Canis lupus familiaris: one gene and its partner. The protein of the gene in region 2 interacts with the protein of the main gene of each other region in a biochemical or structural test. Links are inferred from orthologs where the notes say so. Each region holds a gene or a part of one and is shown on either strand. Other genes may lie near its edges.

What was found. The genes of interacting proteins can lie anywhere in the genome.
Region 1: the proteins of SNTB1 (region 2) and CYSLTR2 interact in a test that uses a peptide from one of them, tested with the Homo sapiens proteins (2 studies listed by IntAct, with this or other methods). The link is inferred for Canis lupus familiaris from reciprocal best matches to the Homo sapiens genes SNTB1 and CYSLTR2.

What each region holds. Positions count from the first base shown.
Region 1 is NC_049243.1:2,925,113-2,931,029, forward strand, and holds the start of CYSLTR2 (cysteinyl leukotriene receptor 2), read right to left. Parts: upstream 3,806-5,917; 5' UTR 3,351-3,805; intron 1-3,350. UniProt on the Homo sapiens protein: Receptor for cysteinyl leukotrienes. The response is mediated via a G-protein that activates a phosphatidylinositol-calcium second messenger system.
Region 2 is NC_049234.1:20,012,601-20,018,250, reverse strand, and holds the start of SNTB1 (beta-1-syntrophin), read left to right. Parts: upstream 1-1,742; 5' UTR 1,743-1,757; coding exon 1,758-2,304; intron 2,305-5,650. UniProt on the Homo sapiens protein: Adapter protein that binds to and probably organizes the subcellular localization of a variety of membrane proteins. May link various receptors to the actin cytoskeleton and the dystrophin glycoprotein complex.

The DNA.
Region 1 (5,917 bases), on a different chromosome or scaffold from region 2:
AAGATAAGACTCCAAGAGAAGCAGCTACAAAGGTTAAGGAAGACTACAGGAGGGGCAGGATTGTATTTTACTCCCTGGTTGAACATCCACTTACCTAATTGTGGTCTACTCTGCCTCTTTTAGTTGAGCAAGAAGAAGAGAAACTTCAGGATAATGGCAAGATGGAGAGGGCTCTCGCCAGTGGAATAGCTTGTACACCATTTGACAAGACAAAGATGTGTATGTTTCCAACAGGTCAAACAGACTCCAGTGAAAATAACTAGATTTGAGTCACATTTCTGATACCAGATCAAAGATAGTTAACCTGAAGGAGATAATAACTCCAGGATCAAGAGGTATGGGATGGAGCATCTTTGGTATGGACAGGGGCAGTGAGATGGGGGGAAGGAGAAGCTACGACAATTTACAAAACCACGTAGTCTGGAATTTTCCCTATTAAATCAAATCTGATCTTGTGAGGGGCATCAAACCTGTGCTCAATCACATTCATACAAACCACATTTAACCCCATAAGCCCTGAGAACCAAGACAGGTCTAGTTAGTACTAGGAAGACGAAGGAAAAAAAGCTTAGAACAACTTTTGAGGTAGAAGTTTGGAAATGAATATGAATGAGCTTAAATATCAAAATGAGACTGTTCTAAAACTAGATGCCTAATGAATTATAAAAATCGGTGGCTCAGTGGTTGAGTGTCTGCCTTTGGCTCAGATCATGATCCCGGGATCCTGGGATCGAGTCCCGCATTGGGCTTCCCGCAAGGAGCCTGCTTCTCCCTCTGCCTGTGTCTCTGACTCTCTCTCTCTGTTTCTCTCATGAATAAATAAAATCTTAAAAAAAACAGAATTATAAAATTCTACAAAGATATCAATAAAGAGTAAGCTACCCATTGGTAAAGTTTGACAAGGCTGGTTGGACAAAATTATTAGAAAAAAATTTTTTAACATTTTCTGTTTTAATCACATGAGTTTAGACTCTTAAATAAACTGGCTATATATAGAAACTAAAAAAAGATAAAACACTGGTCTTGAGTCATAATCTGTGCAGATGTACCTCACACCCTTCCCTTTCATCAGCCCTGTCCTTGCGGTTAACCAACCAGCAGACTCTTCCAGTTACTATGTTAACAGAAGGACAACCAACTTTCCTAGGAAATTTCAAGGGAATGAAGTCATAAAATCAACATCAAGAGGCCCCTGAAGATGTGTTCCTCAGGGTCTGTTACTGTCAAGTCTCTTACTGTTCAGCATTTGGTCAGTGAGCTGATGCCAAAGCTGACCTTCTGTCCACTGTGAGACATGATCCCTGTGACCCCACTTTCACTTTCCCCACTTTCAGGAAGCCACCATATTATTCCAAGTCTATTCTTGGGGGAAAGAAGAAAAGAAGGAAGGAAAAGAGAAGTTAAATATAGCAATAGTCAGAATATTATTTCATTTGCCTTGGGCCTCCTTTTCTAAATTTGGTGGGGTGGTTGACACAAGTCTTGATATATTTTCTGGTTACAATTCTAGTTACCATTATACTTATTATTTCCAAGGAAGACACCACATAGGACAGAGGATGGAAGGAAGGAGAGGGCCTAGGTTCGAAGGCCAGCAATCCCATCCATTAGCATTACGACCATGGGAAAATTACTTTTTCTGTGTTTCAATGGCCTTATCACAAAAAGGTTGTATATACCCCCACTGAATTGTCGTGAGGCTTCGAAGCATTGTCTTGTGTGAAACCCTGAGCACAGTGTCTGGCACATCATAAATACTTAATAAATTTTGGCTGTTGTTATCATAATAATTATAATTATTATCACCTTAAAAAGTATAGGGGCACAGAGTGGGAGTAGGAAGGAATGGAGGGAATGGAGGAACTGGCCACTATCTAGCCTCTCCACCAGAGGTCCTGGAGTTGATGGAGGGCAAAGACAAGGTCCAGCCTGCCCCACAACCAGGGCGTCAGGGGTGGGTAGACCAGAAGGTGCCTGATGAACTCTCATGCTGCATTTTATTGGCTCCGGAGAACACGGAGACATGCGCTAGGCCAAGAGACTCTGGCTTGGCCTGCAGTTCACACATTGGCTAGGAGGTTGTAGAAACACCTAGAGGACAGGCAGGCAGTGTGGGCAGGCTGGAGACTGCCACCCCTTTCTGGTTATCTGGGTCTGGGCAGCCATCATCGTCTCCAGCTGGAAGGGGATGAGCCTTGGTGTGACAGCTTAGTAACTGTCAGGACTCCTTTCTGGGCACAAAGTTATTTCACCTCACCCATGGGAAATTCTGACACACTGTCAGAAATGAGGGGTTGAAGGGCTCCTGACGGGCTCAGTCAGTAGAGCATACAACTCTCGGTATCAGGGTCATGAGTTCAAGCCTCATGTTGGGCATAGAGCTTACTTATTAAAAAAAAAAAGTAGAAATGAGGGATTAGGGGTAATCAAAAGTTAAGAATAGGAAATTGGAGGTAATTTGAGAAATGTATTTCAGAGAAGTGCTTTCCTTGGACGGCTCTACAAAAGGCACAGACGCTTGTGAGGTTAACTAACACGGTGCTCAACATCTCCAAATCCACTCTCGGGCAAACGTGGGTATGAATCTCTACCGTGCCCCTTGGAAGCTGGATACCTCGGAGCTATCTATCCACCTTAAAATTAGGTTTTCCCCATTGTAATAGAAACTGTGAACGGTACCAAGCAATCTCAAAGGGTTATTTTAAGTCATGAATGAAAGAACTTATAAAATAAATCTGGCATGTTGTTGGAGCTCAGTGTTACCTATTTTCGTAAGTGACCAAGTTTCTTTGTCATATCCCTTTCCTACAAAAGATAAGTGACTGAGGATTTTGCCAAGAAGCCTGGCAAATGCTTTACTCTTTCACAGACTTTTTCAGCTCAGGATAACCTCCAGGTTTCCAGCTAAAGCTTTCATGTAAATATTTTCCAAGTACAATGTCGACAGAATGGCCAAGATAAGGAGTTCACCACCCAGATGCCCGTGATTCCCAATTATATCTCCTGCATAGGCCTCTCCCTGAACTACCGTGGATTTTATTATTCAATTTCCCACTCAATATTTTTACTGGATGTCTGAAAGACGTCTTAAATTATACGTGCTCAAAATCAAACACCTGATCTTCATACAGAAGTCTGCTCTTCCCGCAGCCTTTGCCACTTCAATTAATGACATCTGTAATCTTCCAAGTGCTCATATGAAAAAGCTTGAGACATCCTTGATGCCTCGCCTTTTGATTTCCAATAGATCAGAAATAATGTTCACTCTGCTTTCAAAATACATCCCGAGACAGACCACCTCTCACTAGTCTTCTAATACAACTTAGATCCAAGCTAAAAATATCTCTTACCCGTGTTGCTGCCATTGCTCCTTAGCTGGACTTCTTGCTTCCACCCTTGATTCTTTTGGGAGTTGAACTGTGTCCCCAGAAAAGAGAAATTAAAGTCCTAACATCGGTATCTGTAAATGTGACCTTATTTGGATATAAGGTCTTTGCAAACAAATTCCTTCCTTGCTCCTTCCTAGCTCCTGGTGGCAGCATCCATCCTGACATTGTTGGCTTGAAGCTGAAATGCTCCAATCTCTGCCTCCATCTCCACACAGCCTCCTCCTGTGCATGGCTTTTTGTGTGTTAAATCTCCCTCTCCTTTCTCTTATTAGGATGCCAGTCATTGGGTTTGTGTCCCACCTTAAGTCTGGGCTGATGTCATCTCTAGATCTTTAACTTAATTACATCTGCAGAAACCCTATTTCCACATAAAGTCACATTGGCAGGTACCAGGGTTTAGGACGTGGACCTATCTTTTGGAGGATGACACCAGTCAACCTGCTACAGTCACTGAGAAGTGGAAAGGCCGGAACTCAAGCTCAATTCTGATGGCAGCATTCCAATTCCATATTGCCATCCCTAGTGATCCCAAAGGAATTCACATAAGCCACTCTAGACTTGTAACTGGCTTGAGAACAAGTGTCTCTTCAGTCATCTTCTTTTCCTAAGAGAAAAGTTTTATTTTAACTTTCCCACAATGTATCTGGAGTCAGATGGAATGTAGTCTCTGAATCTTTATGAGAGTTTCTTGGGAAATATGTGGAAGATTAGTCCAATGCTAAGCATCTTTGGCACCGTCTGTCTTCTTACTAGATGTTGGAGATGTTCTGAGACAGAGTCCCAGTGCGCACTACAACAGAGCTTCTAGCAACAGCACGTAGGCAAACATTACATTTGTAAAGATGCTCCTCCAAGAAGAGGGTGATTTAGACCTGTCTGTAATGTTTGAATTTTTTAACAATAAGAATGCATTTGGGTTCTGTGTAGCAAAGGATTATTTCAGCACATCTGGGTTGTCTAAACATGTATATTTCCCCAAAATATTTGGCCCTTATTCAAGTTCTAGGAGATAACCTCTAGGTCATTGGAATATCCTACTTAATAAAATTATCTTTGTTTACCTAGGTTTCTTGGGCTATACCAGACAGTTATGCTAACAATGTGACTTATTGAGGGCCTTGGGCCATATGGTATTCCCTTGATCTCTGGAGGGCCTGGGTTAGGTCAACAACATGCTCAGTCATCCATGCATATGTAATCGAACCCCAATAAAATCTCTGGACTCCAAGGCTCAATGAGCTTTCCTTGTTGGTAATACTTTGTGTGTATTGCCACACATCGCTGCCTGAAGAAGTAAGCACACCCCACTGGGATAGGACAACCGGAAGCTTGTGCTAGGTCCCTCCTAGACTTTACCCCAAACGCCTTTTTTCTGTTGTTGATTTTCATCTGTATCCTTTCATTACAATACACACCAAACACAGGAACCATTGCTTAATAAAACTCCATAATTTTTTAAACAGTGCATGGGTCCTTCGACATTCAGTTCTGGCAAACTCCTGTTGAATTATAAACTCCAACACAGTACAGATTGTGCCTTTCTACATTCATCTTTACTCCCACCTCCCCACAATACTCATATGGAGCTTTGCATGTACTAGGTGTTCAGCAGAACAAATGGGGATGACATTGAAGTCTGAGACCAGATTGAAAAATCTCCTATAATCGGAGCTGACTCATGGGCCGTTGGTGAGCTCTGCTATAAATTTTTCTGAATGGAATTCAATTCACACAATGACGATCACCCAAGGTTGAATGATGGGAGCCCTCATTTGATGGTTTTGAATGATAAACTCACCTAAGATGGCTTTCCTCCTTGAATCCTCCGTTCCCTGCCCCTGTGGCTTGGGAGACAATGCTTAAAGCTTGGGCAAGTCTGGCATGTTTGAACTGATCCCAAGGTGGTAGGGAACACACACTCCCTCTTCCCTTCTCTATCAACCAGGAATCTGTTTGCAATGCACAGTATTTGAGTTTCAGCTCCTACAATTTCTGACACATTTAACACTGCTATGCTATTATGATAAATGGGCGGTCTCCCTGAATTGGGAGGTTTGGTGGGAAGGCAATCCTGAGCCTGAGCAACTTCTTTCAACGGCAGCCTTGAAAAAGATGCCATGACTCCACAAGAAGAGCAGCAAGGTCCTCACAGGTTTATTCTACAATTAAAATTTTAGGGGACTCCCAGGTTGGCCAAAATCTTAGTCTCAGCAGAAATAAAGCTTGTTGAATTGCTGCAAATGTTAAGGTCTACTAAATTGTCTAGAACCAGCATCTCTTCAGAGGTCTCTGTTTTGTTTGCTTTGAGATAGAATAAAATATTCTCAACACATAATGTCAAGGAGCAAGTTCATGGGCAACCTGGCCAGTGTGCACTCAAACAGACAGTGGAAGGACTTAATGTAGGATTGAGGCTTTACTCCACTGCCATCCAGAAATAGCTGAATACTCTGCACTGCTTGCTTTTGTTCAATGCATCTGTTTGTTCATCTGTTTGTTTGTTTTTTGTTGCTTTTGTGTGTGTGTGT
Region 2 (5,650 bases):
CCAGTGACTTCTCAAAAGATGCCCAAATGGGGGATCCCTGAGTGGCTCAGCGGTTTAGCGCCTGCCTTCAGCCCGGGGTGTAATCCTGGGGTCCTGGGATGGAGTCCTGCATGGGGCTCCCTGCGTGGTGCCTGCTTCTCCCTCTGCCTGTGTCTCTGCCTCAGTCTCTCTCTCTCTCTCATGAATAAATAAATAAATAAACAAATAAAATCTTTAAAAAAAAAAAAAGATGCCAAATGTTTTCATTTCATTCAGAGACCCTGCCTGGAACTCCAGCTACCCTTTGGGGGCTCAACTGTGTCTTAAAAGCATTATCAGTTAAAAGTGTGGATCACTCTGGAAGGGTTAGAGAATGTTCGGTGATGTCAATGGTGATACACATCAGTGGGAATGTGTTTGGTAAGATTTCTAACCTTGCTGGGTTACTTGTGAGTTTTGCTTTGTTTTGATTTTAGACAGCGGGGAGAGAGATGAAAAGTTGGGGGGAGGGGGATAAGACTTAAAACTGGTGGGGAGGCCCATGACACCTGATTACGGCGGGAGGAGAACCTCAGAGGTTCAAGGACCCGGAACACTCTGAGGGGGTTCAGCCGTGACTGGGGTTAGGTTGGCATTTCTTGATTGGCCTGGTAAGGTGACCAACTATAATAATACCGTCCCCCTGGAACAATGAGTAACTAGTAACTAGTCCAAACAAGTAAGGGAACTTTGCAGATACAGTCCACTGCCACCGAGTTCTCAAACGGTGGGACCTCCTACATTGGATTTTGGGAAGAAAGAGAAAGTCCCAGGAAACAACTGGAATGGCCCTGGGTGGGGTGGGGGCGGGGACCAGACAGAGACGCAGATTGCCTACGGAGTGTTGAAGCTGGGAAGGCGTCAGGTCCCGGGGTCTGGGGTCGGGGGCAGGCAGTGACCTGCTGAAAGCCACCGGCCAGCACACGCGCCTCTCCAGGGATCCGGAGGAAAGAAGTCCTGCCTGCATTTCGAGAGAGGAAGTTTCGGGCCCTCGGGCTATGCTGACGCTCCATCCTGAGCTCTCGGGACAGCCGTCCCTCTGGACTCTCGGAGAACCCGGGGCCTCCATCCGAGTCTACCTGGGAACCCCGGCGCGGAGGGGAGCCAGGTGAGGAAGAGCTCGGCGGGAGAAGCCAAGCCTCGGTTTGCGGAAGCCGGAGCGAGGAGGGTCTGGGTCTGGGTACGGCTGGGGCGTGGGGGGGGGGGGGCGGGACCCAGGGACAGTGGGGCGGGCTCCGGGGCGTGGAGCGCGGGCCCCAGGCAGGGCGAGGGGTCCGGGCCAAGGCGCGGCGTGGGCGCCCGCGGGGCGGGGAGGGGGCGGGGCCGGGGGTCGGAGCCGCGAGCGGCCGGAACAGGTGAGCGGCCGCCGGGCCCCGCCGGGCCCCCGCCCTCCCCGCGGGCGCGCCTCCTCCTCCCGACCCTCCGGGCGCCGAGCGCCGCCGCTCCCCTCCGTTGGCGCGTTTGCAACTGGCAGCTGGCTTTTTTTTTTTTTTTTTTTTTTCTTTCCCCTCCTTTCCCCTCCCCTGAGTGTGTCTCTCCTTCTTTTAGGTCGCTCCACCCCGCGCAGGATCCGGCGAGGGGGAGCGCGCGGCGGCGGCCACCTCGCGCCGGGCGCGCGTGCCAAGTCCCCGAGCGGCGCCCCGCGCCCGGCCCGCGCCCCGCGCCCGCGGCCTCCCCGCAGCCCGTGCCCACTCTTCCCCCCTTTGGCAATCGCACGGCGTTTTAAGAATGCCGGAAAGATGGCGGTAGCGGCGGCGGCGGCGGCGGGCCCGAGCGGCGGGGGAGGCGGCCGCGCGCCGCGGAGCGGGCCGCTGGAAGTTCTGGTGCGGGACCGCTGGCACAAAGTTCTGGTGAACTTGGGCGAGGACGCGCTGGTCCTGAGCTGCGAGGAGGGCGCCGCGGCGTCCAACGGCCTGGGCACCGCCACCAATGGCGCGTTCTGCAGGGGCGCGGGCGGCGCGCAGCCCCCCGACTCGCCGGCCGGGGTCCGCACCGCCTTCACCGACCTGCCCGAGCAGGTGCCCGAGGCCATCTCCAACCAGAAGCGCGGCGTGAAGGTGCTGAAGCAGGAGCTGGGCGGGCTGGGCATCAGCATCAAGGGAGGCAAGGAGAACAAGATGCCCATCCTCATCAGCAAGATCTTCAAGGGGCTGGCGGCCGACCAGACCCAGGCCCTGTACGTGGGCGACGCCATCCTGTCGGTGAACGGGGCCGACCTGCGGGACGCCACCCACGACGAGGCGGTGCAGGCGCTGAAGCGCGCGGGCAGGGAGGTGCTGCTGGAAGGTAGGGGCTCCCGCCGGCGGCCGCGCACACACCCCCTCGCACCCACCCACGTGCCCGCGCAGCCCCGGGGCCGGCGGCGGGGAGCTGGGACAGCTTTAGCCCCCCTGCCCCCGGGTCCCCAACCCAGGTCCCTGACCCCGCGCCCCTAACCCAGGTCCCTGACCCCGCGGCCCTAACCCGGGAGCTCTTGCAGGCCGGGACCCTGCAGGGGTGTGTGAAGGGGCAGGGCGAGCAGGCTTAGTGCACCGCGTGTCCTGTTTCCCCGCGGATAATCCGAGTGAGGCGTGGGGGCCGAGTGTAACCCGGGGCAGCCGTCCACGCGGCGGGGAGAGCCCACTGAATGAATAATCGCAACTCTGCTGCAGCTTCGTGCCTCGGCACTATGTTCTCAGAAGCCTGGGCGATCTGATTTAAAGGGTTCATTCAGTCCCCCCCAAAGAGGATGGAGAGGCGTGGCCGTGTGCGTGGACCCCCCCGCCCCCCAAGCCCCCTCATCCTCCCGGACTTCCCTCCTCGCAGACTGGAAACCCGGGTTATTACGCTGGGGGAGTTGTGCCAAGGGCTGGGGAAGTGTGCCGCAGCTTCATGCAGAAGTTGGTTCCCTTCTGGTGCCAGGTGTTTGGCCGGTCAGTCTGGATTCCAGGCTGCTCTGGCTGGAGGGTTGCTGAGGCAGTTTTTCTGCCTGGCCTCGTCCCGGGATTTTTCCTGAGTGGCGTGGAAACAGTTTCGCATTTGTAAACAGTTTCCCCTGAGTGGGAGGCTTCTTGGAAAGGACTCTCTTGAGATCCTATGTCCCCAATCCCCTAATTTTTCAAGGGAGTGGAATAGGTAGCCGAGTTGTTATAGCCTTTTGGGATTATGTGCTGTTAGGAGGGCAGAAGGGCAGTAGGGTATTAAGTGGATAATCATTCTCCTTTCCCACTACATCTTGTATCTCTTACTTGGTAACTGCCTCTCTGCCCCCATGGCTTGCTTCGTGCTAACCTCAGTTAGCACACATATCATGTAATTATTTTTGCCTATTTACTCAGCTTCCCCCTCACTGTAGATTGAGTTGCCTGGGGTCTTTTATTTAGTTATGGGTCATCTCCCTTGAGTTTCAGGGCTCAAGGATATGCATGACAAGTGAATAAATAAATGAGCCCATAGCCATGGTCGCACAGTATTTCAACCCAGATCTTGTAAACTGGTGGTTGATTTAAATCCGAAATTGAGGACTTAAAGTCAATTTCCTGCTCACCAGATGTGGTGCTGGTGTGTGAAACCGAGAAAGTTCAAAGTTGGAAAACCAGCTTTGTTACATGTGACAGCTGATGCAACTCTCTGGTACACGATCGTCCAGCTCCTGCCTAGAATACATAGGGTCCTCCCCCACACACTTTTATTTATCTAGAGGATTTGTGATGTCTTCATATTTAATAGCTACCCTGGATCCAGAAAGTGGAAGGCTATTTGCTTTGGCTTGATGATTAACATAAGTAAACAGAAAAAAGTTTTCTTGACTCGAGTGTGTGTGTTGGTTTGTGTGACAAGAGGCAGGTGGGATCTGCGGCAAGTTTAGTTTGGACTATAAACTGCTAGGCGCCTGCTTCGCTTGCAATATTTGCTATAAACTCTCAGGGGGGACAAAAGGCAGGCCATTTCTCTTTCAATTCGTTATGTCTTTTATGTCCTTCATTATGTCTTTTCTTCTCTTTGGTTTCAATTTAATGAATAATAACTTAGCAAAGAGATGAAAAAAAAAATCTCTCACCCAAAAAAAGAGGAAGGAAAGGTGACTCCCTGCAGTTGAAAATAAATTTAAAAGGAATCAGACAGTTATGTGACTTTACGGATGCAGCAACCTAAGAGTGAGTTTTGTAAAAACCTCTGATGTGACATTCTTGCAACACGCCATCCTGTGTTACGGGCAGGACCTCTGCGGGGAGGCCTGTGGGCCTCCTGGAAATGAGCCACCTGGGCTTGGGGGCAGCAGTCTTATTCCCAGCCAGAGTTTTCAGAGATCGACTGCAAATGAGAGAAGCCAGTAGAGGCCCCACTCAAAACAATGTCTCTTGCTCTGAGTTGAAGTGTTGGTCCTGAGTGCGTGCAGTAGGAGTGATCATACACCATCAAAGCAAATATCACACGTCCTCTCTTTGTAGCTTATAGTAGTGCATGGATTCCCTACTGAAGGGGCATGTCAGTACCACCGGAAGGGCTTTTCAAAATCACACACCTACTTGCCGGTATTCTCAAATGCATTCTTGATTGCCGAATTTCTGCATGGGAATGATTTTATAGATGTAATCTGCTGGGACGAGAGGCTTAGGGAGATGTTTTAAAAATATGTTTATATGGAGAGTACACAGTTTTTAGATTGCTTTTTTGCTTTGGGGGTGGTTTTTTTTTTTTTGTTTTGTTTTGTTTTGTTTTTTGGTTGGTTTGTTTTTTGAGCTGGCCCATGCAGCTTAATCCCTCAATTTCAGCCAATACGCACCCCATGTAATGACACGCGCCCCCTAGTGGAGAGTCCATACCGCTGCTAGTGGAACCCCCTGAAATGAAAAGCTGAACAGCAAGTTTCCAAGCCTGCGTTCTAGTTACAGAGCCTGTGACAGGATTAACCTCCTTGAGCCTCAGTGTCTTCTGAAAAATGAGAATAAAGAAACTTCTGCTGGACATTCTTACTTTGTAGGGCCTCTGTATGGAAGAGAGTCTAAATGCAAAAGGAAAACAGGATGCGTATCAAATGGCTGCTGTGATTAGTTATGCTATATGAAATGAAGATGAAATTCCCTCTCCCAGGGGAGAGTCCTTACCTCATACTGTACTAGAGTTTATATTTCGTATTTTTAGTCTAAATTTTAAAAAAAGATTTTATTTATTTATTCATGAGAGACACAAAGAGAGAGAGAGAGGCAGAGACACGGGCAGAGGCAGAAGCAGGCTCCACGCAGGGAGCCCGACGTGGGACTTGATCCAGGGTCTCCAGGATCACACCCTGGGCTGAAGGCGACACTGGACCACTGAGTCACCTGGGCAGCCCAAGTCCAATTTTTTTTATTATTATGTAACTGTAATGTTAGGAGACCATTCCTCTCTGAGAAGGGAATCATTACAGCAGCTGACATTTCTTGAGCACTTCTATATGCCAGGCTTTACTTGCATTTGTTCGTTACACTTTTAATAACTCTATGAGGCTAGTACTGTTCATTTTACTGATGGGGAAACAAGTTTACAGACAGCCAGTTAGTTGCTCAAAGAAACCTAGGGAGGAGGCTTCCAGGTCTGACCTAAGAGCTCATCTTTGTGACTTAAAAGCTCATCCTTGTAGTAACTTCTAGGTGAAATTGATACTCTGAGC